Linked DNA regions of Yarrowia lipolytica. The protein of the gene in region 2 interacts with the protein of the main gene of each other region in a pairwise test. Links are inferred from orthologs where the notes say so. Each region holds a gene or a part of one and is shown on either strand. Other genes may lie near its edges. The genes, in order: YALI1_D03990g and YALI1_F11553g.

Region 1 (8,217 bases), on a different chromosome or scaffold from region 2:
CTCACTTGTAGCCAGATCGAAACCTGACTCCGTCTCATACTCACTAAGTCTGTTTTAGTGCGTCGAAAAAATGCGAATGTTGCGCAGTGAATGTGGAAAAGTCGTCTTTATCTGTGCTTGGCAGGGATTTTTCGTCGTCTAGCAGTGCAACCGTGTGGAACTTGTAACCAGGAACTTGTAGCTTGTCTCTCCTCAGCTTTTTCCCACGGTATTATATTAAGCCACATGTTTATATGCACGGTTGGAGATTTGAGTTGGATGTGAAACTCTGACGTGCACCTTGTTGCTAAAAGTAGAAGTGGAATGCACAATCCGACGACGGCGCAAATATGGTCGATTTTGGCCGGGAAAAGGGCCTCAGACCCATGTTGGAGCCCGTATCTTTCTCCTGACACCTTTTCCACCCACTTTTACCCCCTAAAGAGTCCTTTTCGACTCACCCTCTTCTTGCCTCCCCTCCCACTCTCTCTCTATACTCCTCCCTTCTCCTGGATAACCTTGTACGCGCGTGCCGTTAATACCAGATGCCACATCCACAGAGCAGCCAAACAATTTGAGAGAGAAAAAGAGGAGCTTTGAGATTCTCTGTACTTCCAAATTTGGCGGCTGTCCCATGGTAGCCACGTGGCCTCATATCCCCATCGCGCCTCCCAAATCTGCCATTTCCCGCAACCACCTTGCAACCATCTCGAAACCATCGCAACCAACTGGCTCCCCTCAAACCCCTATACACGTGAACCGATCGTATTTGTCTTGGCCGGCGTTAGCCTATAGTTGGAGAAAAGAGAGATGAGGCATAGCGCGCCGACACCCATTTTGGGGCTGTTTGGGGGGCCTTTTGGGCAAAATACGAAAATTCTGAGACACAAAAGCCTCCCCTTTCAAACACCCCCATCCCATGGCCATTACGGTTGTGTATACACCACGGCTATATCATAACACAATCTCTCTCAGCTCACCACAGACTAATAGAACCCAACTCTACCAACTCTCTCCCGTTTACATACTTCCCAAAAAGAGACACCACTGTACTGTAGGTTCGAACCCCTACCCTGCTCGCTTATTCCACGCATCTCGTATGTGGGCTATTTTTAGCCCGTGTGGAGATGGAGGTCATCATATTAGCGTGTATCAACCTGGCTCTTGTCACGGGGGTGCTCGGGGGACAGATAGGAGGCACTTTGAACGTCATCTTTTCAAACGCATGCATATTCTGAGTCCACACACGTCATCTCACTTCAACGGGCCAAAAATAGTCACAGAAACGGGCCAAAAGAATGCACCGGAGCCGTTTTTTTTTACCGACGATCGTGCACGGGAGGAAGCAAGAAAAGACAGATGGTTAAAAATAACACGCGTAACACGAGTGAGGAGAGTACTCGTAGGAGTGGGGGGAGTGGGGAGAGTGAGTAGATGACGTCATTCCGGGAAAGACTTGCTGTGTATTGCACTCGCAGTTGTAAGACTATCTTGGAGGTCTGGAAAAGTCTTCGAGTTGCTGAAGTTCGTCCCAAGTAATTCTCAACTAATTCTGACATCCCAACTCATCAACCTGAAACGAGACACCACCCCATCTTGCTGCGCCTAAACCGCCTCGTATAGCTCCTCCTCCTGCAAGGGGTGCAGTGGTTTCATAGGAGACCCAGAATACTGCGAGATCCAGTAGCACGCTCTCTTTTATTATTACCCCTGACTCAGGGTAATAGGTAAGGCTGATATACCTTCGACTCGTATCGTAGTGAGGCTGGTGGACTGGTTCTAGCAGAGCTGAGACTGAGGTACAGCTGTAGCTATGGCAACAAACACGATCTGGCCGCGACGTTGGCCCGCGAGACTTTTCGGACAGTAATGCACACAGCCCGATTTGTCGACGCAGTCTTCAAACGGCGCATAATACTGGGGCTGGAACAATGGGATCTTTCCAGTAAACTTGTGCGCCACATTGTCTGTTGTAGGCAGTGTCAGTTGTATCGTAGGCAGTGTCCGCTGTAGACCGCGTCTGTGGCGAGCAATGTCTGTCGTAGGCAATGTGAATCGTAGGGACTGTGTGCTCTGATTTCTGGAGTGCTCCCTGAACTCTGGTGTGCCCCTGTGCTCTATTGTACCTCAGAAAAACATCCTGTGATGACGACTTGTAGATAAGAACCTTACGTAGAGCACACTGAACACTCGACTCCTGTACCCTTCAGTCATGATGCCACCCTGGCTTGTCAAAGGACTCATACCACAGGTTCTCGACACAACGTCTCGTGACGCAACAGCAGTGTTAACTTGAGTTCTTCGTGGCGGCAGAAGAACCCTGTGTTCTGACTTGGCACATGGGTGTGCGAATGAGTAGTTGCCCAAACATCCCTATCCGTATCAGTGTTCTGTGAAGCAGTCCATCAGTAGAACCTAACCGACAGAACTCAGTGAGATCGTCTCGAGATATACAAGGAACAGTCGAGATCGCGTTCTGAAGTCGCCAAGTCCACTTTGATGGGGTAGAAGCAGGACAATCGAGGGTTATCGTTGATACTAACACCAATTGGGTCAGTCCATCTGTGTATCTCTGTTCTGCCATTTGCCGTGTTCACAACCGCAGCTCCTCCACTTGGAGATCGCCACCTATAGCCACCACTCCACTCCAACACAAACACCAACAGCGAATTGGAGACGAAACATGATTGCATCTGCCGCTTTGTTGGTGTCTGTGCCGTTGAAAAAGTGGTGTGAAGGAGGAAAAGTGTGTTCAGGTGGTGGGTCTACTTGTAGTTTAAGGTGTCTAGACAGTTGAGGATTTACTACAGTACAAAACAGTAACGTCAAGTAACAAGTGTCTACAAAATAGACAGCGATGGATATTAGAAGATGGGAATATCACAGAGATCTTCAATAGAAACAATTGTGTATCTCTAAGCGTTTATTTCAAATAAATGTGGACGATGAGACGAGCTGTGTCCTGTTGTTTCAGGCTAACTAATTCCAACTAGGTTCTCAACTATGATTGAGAGATTAAACCAAGATAAAACCAAAACGAGATATTGTTGTAACCGATGTCATAGGATGGATAAGAGAAATCTGAGAATGTTTTATTATAAAATACATCTCATTATCAGTATTATGCCAGAAAAATACTTACTTAATATACAAAATGGAGATGTCGCGGCCGACCTCATTCAGCCATGTGCCCACTCAAACTTCGGTATCTGTCAAATATGGGTGACCGTTTTTGGAGTAACTTTACATCCTTTCCAACACACTTTCCACTAAAAGTTGCGATAAAAGAATGTACAATCTGTCCCATTTCACCCATTTTATAGTACTAATCTGTCGTTATTTCAGTCTTATTGTCACTACAACTACAACCTCTTGAAATGAGACCATTATATGAACCTGTCATTCCAACTAAACCCAACAAACTTACCAAGTTAACATACTTGGAAATATAAATATGTTATTAAAAAAATTATAAAGATGTTTTGCAAGATTAGCGGAGGCGTCGAAGATGGTTTTTCTTTTATTTACTCTCAAAAACTTATCTAATACTTTGATAATTGCAAAAATATCCCTCCAATGATTTCATATGGACCTGTCCTGTTCTTGTAGCATTGTGCTGTGGACCATATATAAACACCTTAGGCAATTCTACGGTATCGAGCACTTCAAATTTCTGCTCTATTGAGATATTTGATCATCAATAGGACCGATTCTGGTCTTCTACATGAAGAGCTCTTTAATTACTGTACATACTGTAGTAACACCCCAGTATGAAAAACCTGCCGGTCGGTCTCTATCGCTTCTTCGTGTCCCTACTTCTACTTGTAGCTGCTTTTCCGTGTGTATCGATGAAAACCTGAAGTAGAAGACCGACAAAATGTCCACCCAGCAGAGAAAGAATCATAGTCAGATTCAATCAGGTCATCCAGATCATCCAGATCATCCAGATCATCCAGATCATCCAGATGTTCGATAGAGAATCTAGACTGTTTACATCTACATTACCTACCAGGCACCCTGGTACATCTCAACCTACACATCACTCCAAGTCAATGCTTCATTTCTACTGTTCAGATGTCCACTTGACAGGCTGAGCTAGGCTGAGTCTGTTCGGGCGTGTTCGGGCGTGCTCGGGTCTGTTGTGCCTTCCTGCCAATTCGGCTCATCCTCCGACCTGGTTTTCCTCCTGTCTGGTCGTCCTCCTGCTTGGTTCGCTCTACCCATCCTCCTCGGCCCATCCACCCCTCCTCGGCTCATCCTCCTGTCTGGCTCACAGGTTGCGCCTGCTCGCTATAAATAATTACTGACCAACACCTTGGTACACCAAAATGGGCTCGCCAGTGTTGGTAATTTCCGGAATCGTCAGCTTCAGGTCAAACGCCTTGGACAGCACGATTTTGAAAATCTTTTGCACGTTGATGGAATGCGACGTGGAGCAGAAAATGAGCGACGCCTTCATGGCCTTGGCAAACTTCTTGGCCTGCTGGGTGATTTCCTCCTGGTCCTCCTTGGGTAACTGCACAAACAGATCGTACTTGGTGCCCACCAGAAACGGAATCGCCGTCTTGTTGAACCCCCGAGCCTGCCGGTACCACTCCTTGACGCTGTTGAGAGTCGATTTTCGCGTGAGATCAAACATGAACAGAATCGCCACAGAGTCGTTGGACACCAGCGGAAGCATGTTGACAAACTCCCGCTGGCCACCCAGATCCCAAATCAGAAACGTAATCTCCGTATCTCGTATCGACACCGTTTTTTCCATGAAGTTCACCCCCAAAGTCTGCACGTAGTCCTCGTCAAAATTTCCCTCGGCATACTTGACCATCAGCGACGTTTTGCCGATTTGCGCGTCTCCAATGAGCCCAATTTTCAGCGACACACTGTTCTTGTGTGGCACATTCATGTCCACAGGCACCGTTTTCTCTTGTTCCATGGTTGCAAATAAGTCTGGATATTGTTAGTGCTGTGGGGTTCGTGATGGTGGTGGAGTTGTGTTTTGATACGGTGTAGGTTGGATTAGGGTTTGAGCGGAATTCCCGTAAATCGGCAACTGTGGGCGCTGGAGTAGACATGGAAGGTGAACGTGACTTGTGGTGCAATTGTCTCTCACGTGACCATTTTCGGCGCGTAAATCCGACCGCAAACACGTCCGTTGCTCCCACGTGACCCGTTGCTATGACACTTGTTGTGGCCAACCTAAAAAATCCCATCTAGGGGTATGTCAAATATTCACCAGTGTAGCCCCAAAAGACGTTGGATGGTGGTTAAATTGGTGCCATTGGAATCGCTGTTCTTTGAGGGATACAATGGTATTATTTGTTTTGTAAATAGTTTACTTTTCATAAATGAGGCTGAAAACGCGCATTTACCGTTGTCAGTGCATTGTGACGTGGTGGTGATGAGAAGAAGACATCAATGTGGTCTAGAGGCCGTGGTTTGGCGGTTCACAAGACCTTTTGCGCTTTTTTGCCTGATTTCATGCCATTTTTGGCCATTATCCCGGTCTCAGAGTTTTGACATATGTCACCAATTTAGACTGTACAAATCTGTACATACAACCGGGCAATCTCTGTTTATATATTTTGTGCAATATCGGCGATATTTTTTTCCTTCAATATTCGAGAGAACCCCCATAATGACGCATGGGAATGGCTGGACACGTGACTATTCACGTGACCAGACCTGGGGGGGGGGTTGGTAGAGGATCTGGTTGAGCTATACAGTTTGGTACATACGAGTATCGTATTACTCAGCTACAAACTGTAGGGCCTCTACAAGTAAGGGGAGTGTGACACGTGATACGCCGGAAAGTCACGTGATACGCCGGAAAGTCACGTTTTAAAACGAAAGTCACGTGATAGACGGGAAAGTCGCGGACACAATCTGATCCACATGAGGTCGGTCTTTTACAAGGAGGTACTCCTAATTGAGGGTCACGACAGAATCGACTGTTGTCACGTGACATTAGGAACGGCGATACTATCGATACGAGTACGAGTGCTCTGAATCACGTGAATATACGATTCTCGCGACACTGATCACGTGAATATTTTTGTCGAGTGTAGGAGAATGAGTTGAAGATGTACAGTATCGATCGTCGCCTAGATTCACGCCCACTACAGTACATCTGTACTCGCACAGGTTCGATTCTTGCTTCTACACATTTAAACCACAATTAGCACGATTTTTCAAGACTGGAGATTTTCATGTCTGATCTGATCATCTCTTTAGAAGACTTATAATCTCTCTACAAGTACCGTTCTTGTACTTATATTTCTCTTCTACCGTCCACAATTGACAGCTTTGGGGTCTTGGACTGTCTTATACCAGCAACATCTTTTCCAGTATGTACAGTACATACTGCACAAGTATTGGTAGATCGTACCAGCGACATATGACACCAGAAACATATGGCATCAGAGAGAACACCACCAACTGGTCATTTCCCGTCATGCACGAGCTCGCCAGCGCTCTGCGGGGTTTGATTGTGATCTGCACCGTGCATATATTGGTTTTGTAGGAGGCGGAGTCCCGAAAAAAGTTCCAGGAGAAAAGTGTTCAGTGCTAAGTGTGAGTCTAGTATCTCCCCAACTAAATTGCGAGAAATATACATTTGCACACTTAGGAAACCGGACCACAACCAACTGGAGTCTCCTGACTAATCATCCACCTCTCGTGACTAATGCACCAATCAAAAGCCCGAGCTGTTATCTCACTTTCCCCACCAATTGCGGCCTGAATCATGCACCGTGGGCCGAGGCATGTGACACGCAGAGCAAGGCTATGTGAGGTTTGGGTCTGATCTGGAGCTCTTCTGATCAGGTACATGGTCTTCTGGGCGACACCGACGATGTCGCACGGAGGTTTGCTGCGGCACGTGCTCCCCCAAAATCGGCTAAAGACGCCGTTGTCGCTCCACAAAGAGTCCCTTGCGTGTGATCGGGCGGGGGTTGAGTGCCTGAGCGATATCGGCGTGGAGTTTATATTTTTCACCAAAGTCTAAAATTTTCACGCAAAGAGTCACGCTCAGTGAGATGCTCAACTCCGGCAGTATTCATGCACTCTGGACCTAATTCGCTGTGGCCGGTCACACGGCTATGACCGTCATCGGTTTCGGTGCGTCCGAGGAGCTTAGAGTGTGAGTGCATATGTGGGGGGGGGAGGAGCGAGGAATGTGAATAGCAGGGTGAATTTTAGTAAGTAATCGGATCCGAGGGTAGAGAAAGAACGAGGGAAGCTCAAGGAGTCCAATGGTAAAGTCCGCTTTGAATTATACCAACTATTGACCGAGATATTGCCTTCGAACCAACGGTTGTTGAAACCTAATGTGTTCTATGCCGGCCCTGTGGGCGCGAGATATGGGGAAGCGAGAGGAGCGGGAGCGGAGTTGATTGGAGTGGTGACAATGTCGCTGTCGAGAAGCGATATCGGTAGCTTTCGGAGTGTCGATATCACCGAGCCTCAGGGAACAATGGAGGTCCGGGGGACGTTGAAGTACAGTATACCTACTGACTGTCATATAGTACGGGATCCAGGGATTACGACAGTGGGTAGGTCTATAAGAAACAGAGGCTCATCAGCTATGGGGAAAGATTAACAGGTACAGTTGTATGAAACTTGAAAGTGGCAGCACAGACACTCTTATACTACGACTACTTGTAGTACTGTACTGGGAGTCTCCTCCTTGAAGCCTGTACGAAAGTCGCCTACAAGACTGTCCCCAAGTCCGGATCTGTTGGACTCTGGCATCCATCTTGGCCCAGATCGGATCTAAGACACTGGCGTGTCGCTAAACTAACCCTCCGACGGGGCTGTTCATTCACCTCCGGTCTATTAAAAGTGTAATAATGGTCTTTGTTAGTCTGTCTGGAGGCGAGAGAATTGTGGGGTAAGATGATGGAGTGGGTGTAGTGAGTTTAGTGAGAGAGTGTGGTAGCGAGTGGACGGCTAGATGTAGAGCTCGAATTGAGTGGTTATGAGTGGACCATGTTGTACTCCGGCCGAGATTACAAGTGGTTGAACGCCATCAACCTCATCAACGACGTCGCTGAAAAATGACGGAATCTTCAACTCTTGGATGTATTAACAATCCCGTGACAATCAGACACCAGCCAACTCCAGCAGACAGAGCAATTGATCTAACCATACTACTGTACCTGTAGTACGTAATACAGTAGTACCAGATGTACAGTGAGTCACCACCACCTATCTTGTACCCCATCTCCACCCAGCTCCATG
Region 2 (9,055 bases):
TGGCAAGATCTGGGAAGTAGCTGGCAGATGCCAGAAGGATGATAATGTCTTTCAACACCCCGTCCCCACGAGTCTACTACAATCTCCTATTGTTCTCGAACGGTCCATTGACTGACTCTAGATCCTACTGCACACTCAATGCCTCTCAGCTCTACATGAATAGAAGTCGCACCTATTAGCACCCTTGACACCTATAGCAATCTGCCAAACTCCTTTCAGATCACAATTCCAACTCTCCAAACCAAATACATCTTGTGCAAGTGCGAGTACACAACGAATATCGTACATCTAAGACATATTTGTCGGTCGATTCAATCTTGCTCCGCCGTCGGCCCTGCATAATCCCACCTCCGTATTGTAGGTTAAAGAACAGCGCCAGTATATGGGGGGGGGGGGGGGGGGGGGGGTATTGTAGACACGTGTTTGGAAGGGGTGATCGGGAGGGTTAGTCATCAGAAGAACCACTCCAACATGGAATTTTCAAAACCACCAATATTTCAAACCCGGCAAAAATATCCCTGTCTTCCAATATTACAACAAAACATTGTCTTCGCCCATCCAGTGCAATTGCGCCATTGCTGCGCATGCAGTGAATTCAGAAGCCAATTGAGTTGCCGTAGCGTATAACTATTTGCTGCGACGCAAACCATACACTTCCTCTACATCCACACACACAACATGTCTTTCCGACTCGCCACTTACCTGCGAACCGCCAAGTCTCTGCGACCGGCCACTCTGCCCGCCGGCGCCCGATTCTACTCCTTCAAGGCCGAGGACCAACCTCGAATCCGAATCGGCTCTACCGCCCCCAACTTCTCTGCCCAGACCACCGGAGGAGATATTGACTTCCACAACTTCATTGGCGACAAGTGGACCGTGCTGTTCTCTCACCCCGCGGACTTCACCCCCGTGTGTACCACCGAGCTCGGCGCCTTTGCTGCTCTCAAGGACGAGTTCACAAAGCGAAACGCCCAGCTGATTGCTCTGTCTGCCGACGACCTGCAGTCCCACAAGGACTGGGTCCAGGACATTGAGGACACCTCCACCTCCGGCAAGGCCTTCGACTTCCCCATTATCGCCGACCCCGAGCGAAAGGTCGCCTTCCTTTACGACATGGTCGACCAGCAGGGCTTTGAGAACATCAACAAGGGCATTGCCTTCACCATCCGATCCGTCTTCATCATCGACCCCAACAAGAAGGTGCGACTCTTCATCACCTACCCCGCTTCCACCGGCCGAAACTCGTCCGAGATTCTGCGAGTCCTCGACTCTCTGCAGCTCAACGACGCCACTGGCCTCGTCACCCCCATTGACTGGGAGGCCGGCAAGGACGTCATCATTCCTCCTTCCGTCAAGAACGAGGATGCCAAGAAGAAGTACGGCGACTTCAAGGAGCTCAAGCCCTACCTCCGATTCACCAAGGACCCTGTTAACTAAATTGGCGGCTAGCCCGACGATATTTGAATGAATTATAACACTGCACGCGTGTACAGTATGTACCTACGTAGAATGGGCGTACACCTCAGACACAGGCAGGTGTGTCTGTACTGTAGGTAGTATAGTGATAACCTCAAATTAAGCAACAGCAGTATGGAAAACGAGCAACCAAGCAAAAAAATAGCTGGAGCAAGAAGGATATAAATCGTTGCTCGATCAAAAAAAGGAATCTCCGATACCGGGAATCGAACCCGGGTTCTCCGCGTGAAAAGCGGAAGTGATAACCCCTACACTATATCGGAAAGCTAAAATGTAAGGACCAAGTCGCTTACTAAGGGCTTGGGATGGTGCCGGTCACGAATCACTAGAATAAAAAAAAAAAACGTGCATGTGTGACTGTGGCTCCCAACTGGGACCCACCCGGAGGATGGTAGTATAAGAAGGACATTTATGTATGATTAATAAGACAAGTTATCACCAGCCTGTGAACGTATTACAGACAGCGAGCAACGGTTAGGTTAGACAGCGACAATCTACCGACTGAGAACTATTCCGCAGATAAGAGACGATCGGATCTTACATAAAAAAAGTCAAATTTCGGCTGTTGACATATCGCGTCTGGATCACATGATCTTAAATAACTTTAAATTTGTGAATTTTTCAAAAATGGGAGATAATGAAATAAAAGGGGCTGTAGAGGGGTATAAAAGTGAATAGAAACATTTTGAAGTGCTCTAAGAAGCATGTCAGAATTACTTGATATGCCAAAGGCAACAATTTCCAGGAAATATAGCCCAAAAGGACGTTTAGGGGCAGTGCTGGACTACACGTCCTTATACTAGACTTGTACGAGACACACTCAGTTAACAGACATATAAAGAGAGAAGTGTGCATTTTGTAGTCTTTCGGATCACTTGGAATGTCTCCTTAGGTGGTCTCATGCCCGTATATACCCGTATATTTCCCGAACAAGGGCTGTTCTAAGAATAGATATTATGAGCTCTAGCATCATCTAAGCACAGTGCGTAGAGTTAGCGTTCCAGCAAACGTATCCAACAGGTTATGAGTGAGGAATCTGGCCGTCGTGCTATCAATCTATATCACTATTCTGCCTCTCATGTCCATCTCATTGCTGATCAGGGATTGGTATAAGTACTGTAGTAGAGTTTTCCATGTGTCCCAATTGGGCTAATATGCGTCCATTTCTGGATGGTGTAATGTAGGGAGATTAAAGGGGGTGATACGGAGTGTTCCTGATCGGCGAAGTGGATGTTTTTTTGGTTGATTATTTAGCGGCGAAGGAAAACAGGGTCACGTGACAAACTCCTTGGCAATCACGATCGCTGGCGGCCCCAAAATACTACCCCTCCTGGCCATCGCGAAACCGCTCCCAACTGTAAATTCACGCGTCTTTTGTAAACAACTTTAACTGGCTTGGTGCAGCAGCAGTAAACGTCTAACGGTCAGACCTACAGTAGTACACTTCAAGATACACAGCTCCTTTCTACCGACCCGTGATGGTTCCCTCGACTCCCTCACGGCGTCCCCAGCGCCCCAGGGGTGCCCCACAACACCTGCGTCACTCGTCGAGCTCATCCAGTTCGTCGAGTGGCAGTACGAGAGACAGAGACATGGTCAGCGCTACGCCAGCCCAGAAGGTCAATGGCAAGGAGCCGATGAATAATTATGTGAGTGCGAATCGAGTTGTTTGGAGCCAAGCAGCTGGTGGCAAAAGTCGACTGAGCAGGATAAGTTGACTTGGTAAGGTCAGATGTTCAGGGCATGAGAGAACATGCGAGAGGTTCAGCAACATAGGGGGTGTGCCAGGTATGGCAGGATGATATGGCAACGGTGGAGGGATAAGTCGGATGTGGGGGTCATACGAATCAACTACTGGTTTCATTTGTGTGCTATTTTGTTCAATTTGTCGTTCTATTATGAAAAGACATCCACAACTTTCCACCGGTTTATGATCGTACGCAGCCCCTTGTCACTGCTGTTGACACAAATGCCAGCTTTGAAACTCATTCCTAGTACTATCTCTATACAGCAACTGGCTTCATTGTGGTGGTTGTTTCAACTGTGGTTAGGCTGAATGGTAGCTCCATGTTCCTTCTGCTCCATATCCCCGTACTGATGCGTACGCCGACACGCACTCCTCTCTTTCGCTGACCCTTCCTTCACCATTACCAACACACATCAATGCACATGTGCTGTATGGCCTAGTACTCGTCTGTTCGTTCGTGCTAACACAGACCCTCGGAGACTGCCTCGGCAAAGGCGCCTATGCGTCCGTCTACCGTGCTCTCAACTGGAACACCGGCGAAGCTGTCGCCGTCAAACGGATCAAGCTCTCGGACGTGCCTAAAAAAGGTGACGTCGACACCATCATGATGGAAATTGACCTGCTCAAAAACCTCAACCATCCAAACATCGTCAAGTATCACGGCTTTGTCAAGACCCAGGATACCCTCAACATCATCTTAGAGTACTGCGAAAACGGCTCATTACACTCCATCTGCCGCAAGTTTGGCAAGTTCCCCGAAAACCTCGTGGCTGTCTACATGTACCAGGTGCTCAAGGGTCTGGCATACTTGCACGAGCAGGGAGTGATTCATAGAGATATCAAGGGTGCCAATATTTTGACCACTAAAGATGGAAACTCGAAGCTGGCTGATTTTGGAGTCGCAACAACAACCATACTCGCTACCGGATCTGTGGAAAACGGAGTGGCAGGTACACCCAACTGGATGGCCCCTGAGATCATTGAGCTCAATGGTGCTACCACAGCCTCGGATATCTGGTCTGTGGGATGTACTGTGATTGAGCTGCTCACAGGCAAACCCCCCTACCACAACCTAGGCCAAATGCCAGCCATGTTTGCTATTGTCAACGACGATCATCCTGCATTTCCAGAAGGAGCGTCTCCTGCAGCTCTCGACTTTCTCGGACAGTGTTTCCAAAAAGACCCCAATCTGCGAGTGACGGCCAAAAAGCTGCTGCGACATCCGTGGTTAGCTGAAGCGAGGACCGATAGCGAACGCAAACACGTCAGTGGGCCTCCCAAGCGATATGATGAGGTTGTAAAATCCGTGGAGCAGTTCAATCAAGCAGTCGAAGAGACTCCACGAACACCCCATCGTACTCAGGACGACATTTACGCTTCAATTCGCAAGTTTTCGCGCCAAAAACAGAACGAGATCACGTCCTCGGGCCATATCGAGAGTTGGGACGACGAGTTTGTGGGCGAGCTAAACCCCCGATCTCCACATATCATAATTACCAAGCGAGAAATCACTCCTCCAGGTTCTTCAACTTCTTCCAAACCAATTCCCTCCATCACCAGTGCCTTGAACAAGGCTTCTAGAGGCAGTGTCTCCAATAAACTGCCGAGCATCAGCAAAGCCACGCGCCTAGATCCAAAGACCCCTGTGCATTCAAGAATTCCGATTGAGAACTCGCCTTTTCGGGACGTGGAGGATGACGATGCGTTTGCGGACGGCTTCAATGTGGCCGATATTTCCACAGACGACCTGAAAAAGAGGTTTAACAGCAGACAAAAGCCTACTGCCGCAGAGGACAAGTCTACAGATTACGCCACGATCAAGCTGAAGCAGTTCTGTGAGGAGGGAGAGGATGAAGATGACTATACCAGTATGCTTGGAGATATGGTAGATTTGACAGTAGGTGCTACTCCCAAGTCACAAAATGCGTACCCGGCGTCGTTTTCGTCTTCGGACAAATCCCATCATTCGGACGACGAAGATCCATTTGCTGCTCTTGAGAATGAAACGAGATTCTCTCCAGAAGACATTGAACAGAACATTGCACGTGATAAGCTTGCTACGGCGATGCGCACGGCTGAGCAGCATGTTGGAAGACTCAACAGGGTGCAACTGACGACTTCCGAAGTCCAGGATATTGTCCCTTCTCTTATTGACCTGTTGCAGCAGCATCCTGAGACAAAGAAGACAGTGGTCAAGTGTCACATAGTACTGCCTTTGCTGGAGCTTCTGGAGCGGTTTCAGACCAACGAGGCGGTTGTTTGCGGTGTCCTATGCATTTTGGTGCTTCTTATTGATGATGATGAAGCTGTTCTTGAGAGCTTGTGTTTCTCAGGAGGTATCCCAATCGTCACAATGTTTTCTACCACTCGATACCAGTCTGAAACTCGTATTCAGAGTGTAGCCATTGTTGATAGACTCTGCAGAGGCTCCAAACTGGCTCTCCAGATGTTTGTTTCTTGTGGAGGTCTCAACATGCTGTCGCAGTTGATTGAGGAGGACTTTGGTTTGCATCGTGAGTTTGTATTTGTGGGAATCTACGGCGTGGCCAAGGTGTTCGAGGTGCAGGGGAGCGGTATGCGAAACGACTTTTGTCGAATCCTTTCCCGTTCTTTCATTCTCGACTCTCTGGTGGCTATTCTGAGACAGCTGGTAGACGACTATGAACCCGATGAGTACCCCACAGACACCTCTGGATACTCGGACACGGACTACATCAACAAGATTATGAGCATTCTGACCATATTCTCGCAGACAGAGCCTCATGTCAAAGAGACTATTGCTTCTCGAGCTGTGTTCAAGGGGCTCTTCAAGTGCTACAAACGTCTACCGACACATCACCGAGTCACCATGCTCAAGTTCATCAAGAGTGTTAGTGCCGTTCACACCGCCCTTGAGACCATGCAAAACTCCAACGTCATTGAGTACCTTGTGGACTGTCTCAAGGACTGCACCAATATGGCCAACCAGCATTCCCGAGACCTGTCAATCCAGATCTACCACACTCTCTTCAATCTGTGTCGATTATCCCCTCACAGACAAGACGAGGCTGCCGAGTGTGGGGCTGCCCCATATCTTCAGGCAGCAGCTCTTTCTTCTTTGCCCGTCAAGGACTTTGCTCTTCCTCTTTTGTGTGACATGGCTCACTCTTCCAAGGCAACTCGCAAGATTCTGTGGCGCCACGATGTGCTCACAACATATCTGCGTCTACTTCCGGACCCTTACTACCAGGTCAACGCCATGGATTCTATCATTGTGTGGTTCGACGATGAAACAGCTCGTGTGGAGGAACGTCTAATTCGAAACACCTCTCTCGACCTCATCACTCACTCCTTCTCGAACAACTCCAGATCCACGGCCTTTGAGCAGTACATGGACCTGTTCCACAAGTTGTTGCGGCTGAGTCAGCGTGTCGCTGTGGCTCTCACTGGGCCTATTCTGATCGGTTTCCTGTCGTCCAAGCTGGAATCCAGCAAGCCTAGAATCCGGCTGACAGTGCTCAAGATCATCAGAACCCTCGTTGAAGCTAACGGAGACGATTACAGCTTCCTGGAGAAGCACGATTTGGCCAAGCAAATCGCTTACCTTGCAGCAAACGAGAAGTCTGTTCTCGCTAGAGGTCTAGCCAAGGAAATGGCTGAGGGCAAGAAGACGAAGTCACGAGATACAATTACAGACATGCCTGCTCCACCAGTCAAGAGATACGATCCTATTCCCACTCCGAGCAAGAGAGTGGCTTCGGATTATAGACCGGCGGTGAAGCATCAGGTGGGAAACAGTAGCTCGTTTCTCTAGGAAAGCTTTCGAGGACATTGTCCACGAAGAGGGACGCCACCATCTCATTTACAATACGATACCATACCAAACAATACACAAGACTCTGTCTTATTTATCATATAACATTAATGCATTGACAACATACAACTGCCTGTATCGATGCCTATGATACAACATATCACAATTGAAATATCGTAGGAGTCTCTCCCCACACTCAACAAAGGTCGCGATGGTAAATATATATTTTAATATGCGTTTGAGAGGCAAGTGTGATGCATATCATCCGTTGTTGGCGTGTGATACGAGCTAATAAGAAGTGGATTGAAGATGTGTGTAGAGATATAGAGTCTTGTCAAGATTGAAAAGTGTCTTACCTCCATAGATCATCCTTGACTTGTGTGCCAATTAATGTCTCTAGGTCGATAAAAATCCCACGTAACATTAAATCGTCTTTCTCTCGGTGAGACATTCCTGCATAAGCGAGAACCTTACTACCTTTCGGTTGTGTTGAAAATCATCCCCCTCCTCCTAAGGATACTGAAGAGTTGACATGTCCAAGCATCTCGGAACAGATACATGATGTACTGTATTCTTACAAGTACTCGGACTTTTATATCTTCAGTGAGAGTCTCACTAAAACCTACATTACTCAAACTGTGTGTAAAACGCTGTCTTGGTTCTTGAGTAAGCAGGTTGGAGACATAACATAGAAAGCCGAAGAGGCAAGAGCAAAAAAAAAATGGTTTAATTGCAGCACCTAGGATTCTCGTATGGTCCTCCCCACTACAATACATAACTAGGGCTCTCTGGTTGCTTGGACTATGGCTTGATCGGACGGGGAAAGCCGTATTTTTCACCAAGGGATATGGCCGCAACTGGCGATAAATGTGATTGAACCTAGTAACACGGCTATGGACGTCACGTGATTAAATAAAAAAATGAATCATTAGAATAAAAACAAATAATAAGGAAATCTGGTTCAATAGGGCTATCTTGTAACCTGGGAAAGAGGAATCTAGCTGTTTATGCCCTTATTGCTCTACTTTTCGTTTTATGTTCCACATCCAATCTATTAATGCATTCATCTAAATATCCCCATTGACCATTGACTTTTGGTTACTGTTTGTCGTTACTGGTTCGCTCGTGGTACATCTATTCATCCTGGCCCAGGCTCATGTCCTCCAGGTCGTCGAGAAGCTCGTCAACACCAATCTCAGGAACTCCCTCGCCCTCCTCCTCGCTGGCCTCCATCTCATCACCAGTCTTGGGAAGAGCAGGCATCTGGGGAACGGTTCGCTTATAAAGGTTGACGGTGCCTCGCAGCTCGGTGTCTTCCTCGAGCTCCTGCAGGAACTGCTCGTAGTCCTGCTCAGCCTTGTCCAGATCGGTTTTGGTGACCTTGGGGTCGTCCTCTAGGTTGTGTTCAAGTGCCATTCGCTTAAGCTTCCAGTGTCGGTTTCGCTTCTTTCGTCGGCCAGGGTAGTGCTTCTTGACTAGAATCACGTCGGGCAGATTATCCTTGTCCAGCTCATCCCAGTAGGCATTGTTGAAGTTGGACGTGACCATGTAGTAGCCATAGGCAGAGTCTCCGGGATGCAGGACACCTCCGAGATGCGTTCGGATGTTGTAGGTGGTGTCGTTTCGGCCCATGTCGCCGACTCGAGCCACAGTGGCGTCAGCAAGGGCAAACTTGCCCTTGACGGGTCCCAGAGGCTCAATATCGAGCACAATAAACTCCTGCAGACGAGAAGCATCGGCCAGAGAAGGGAACTGCTTTCTCCAGTAAACAGAGCCAGGAATCTCGGCAGTCTGGAGGGTATTGGGGTCAACAAAGTGCAGGGTGTTGGTCACCTTGGTACACAGAACCAGAGGAGAAATGTTGGCGTTGGACTTGGCAATGCTGGGAGGCAAAACCACGAGGTCGTCTCGACAGATGGGTGCGATTTCGACCGAGTAAGAAAACTTGTACTGCTTCTTGGCGGTATGGGTATCCATTGAAATGAGCTCTTCGGACCGCTTGTGTCTGCAGGGGGTGACGGACGCCAGAAAGTCGAGCA

The links.
Region 1: the proteins of YALI1_F11553g (region 2) and YALI1_D03990g interact in a two-hybrid assay, tested with the Schizosaccharomyces pombe proteins (3 studies listed by BioGRID). The link is inferred for Yarrowia lipolytica from reciprocal best matches to the Schizosaccharomyces pombe genes cdc7 and spg1.

What each region holds. Positions count from the first base shown.
Region 1 is NC_090773.1:395,769-403,985, reverse strand, and holds YALI1_D03990g (uncharacterized protein), read right to left. Parts: upstream 4,913-8,217; coding exon 4,288-4,912; intron 4,232-4,287; coding exon 4,050-4,231; downstream 1-4,049. Other genes in the region: YALI1_D04030g (uncharacterized protein), read left to right, coding at 899-1,417; YALI1_D04017g (uncharacterized protein), read right to left, coding at 1,526-1,809, 1,857-2,071, 2,117-2,223; YALI1_D03987g (uncharacterized protein), read left to right, coding at 5,198-5,680. UniProt on the Schizosaccharomyces pombe protein: GTP-binding protein essential for the induction of septum formation at G2 and pre-START stages of mitosis. Acts via the cdc7 protein kinase pathway.
Region 2 is NC_090775.1:1,149,938-1,158,992, reverse strand, and holds YALI1_F11553g (uncharacterized protein), read left to right. Parts: upstream 1-3,068; coding exon 3,069-3,125; intron 3,126-3,692; coding exon 3,693-7,016; downstream 7,017-9,055. Other genes in the region: YALI1_F11583g (uncharacterized protein), read left to right, coding at 679-1,437; YALI1_F11493g (60S ribosomal export protein NMD3), read right to left, coding at 8,151-9,055. UniProt on the Schizosaccharomyces pombe protein: Protein kinase essential for cell division. Plays a key role in initiation of septum formation and cytokinesis.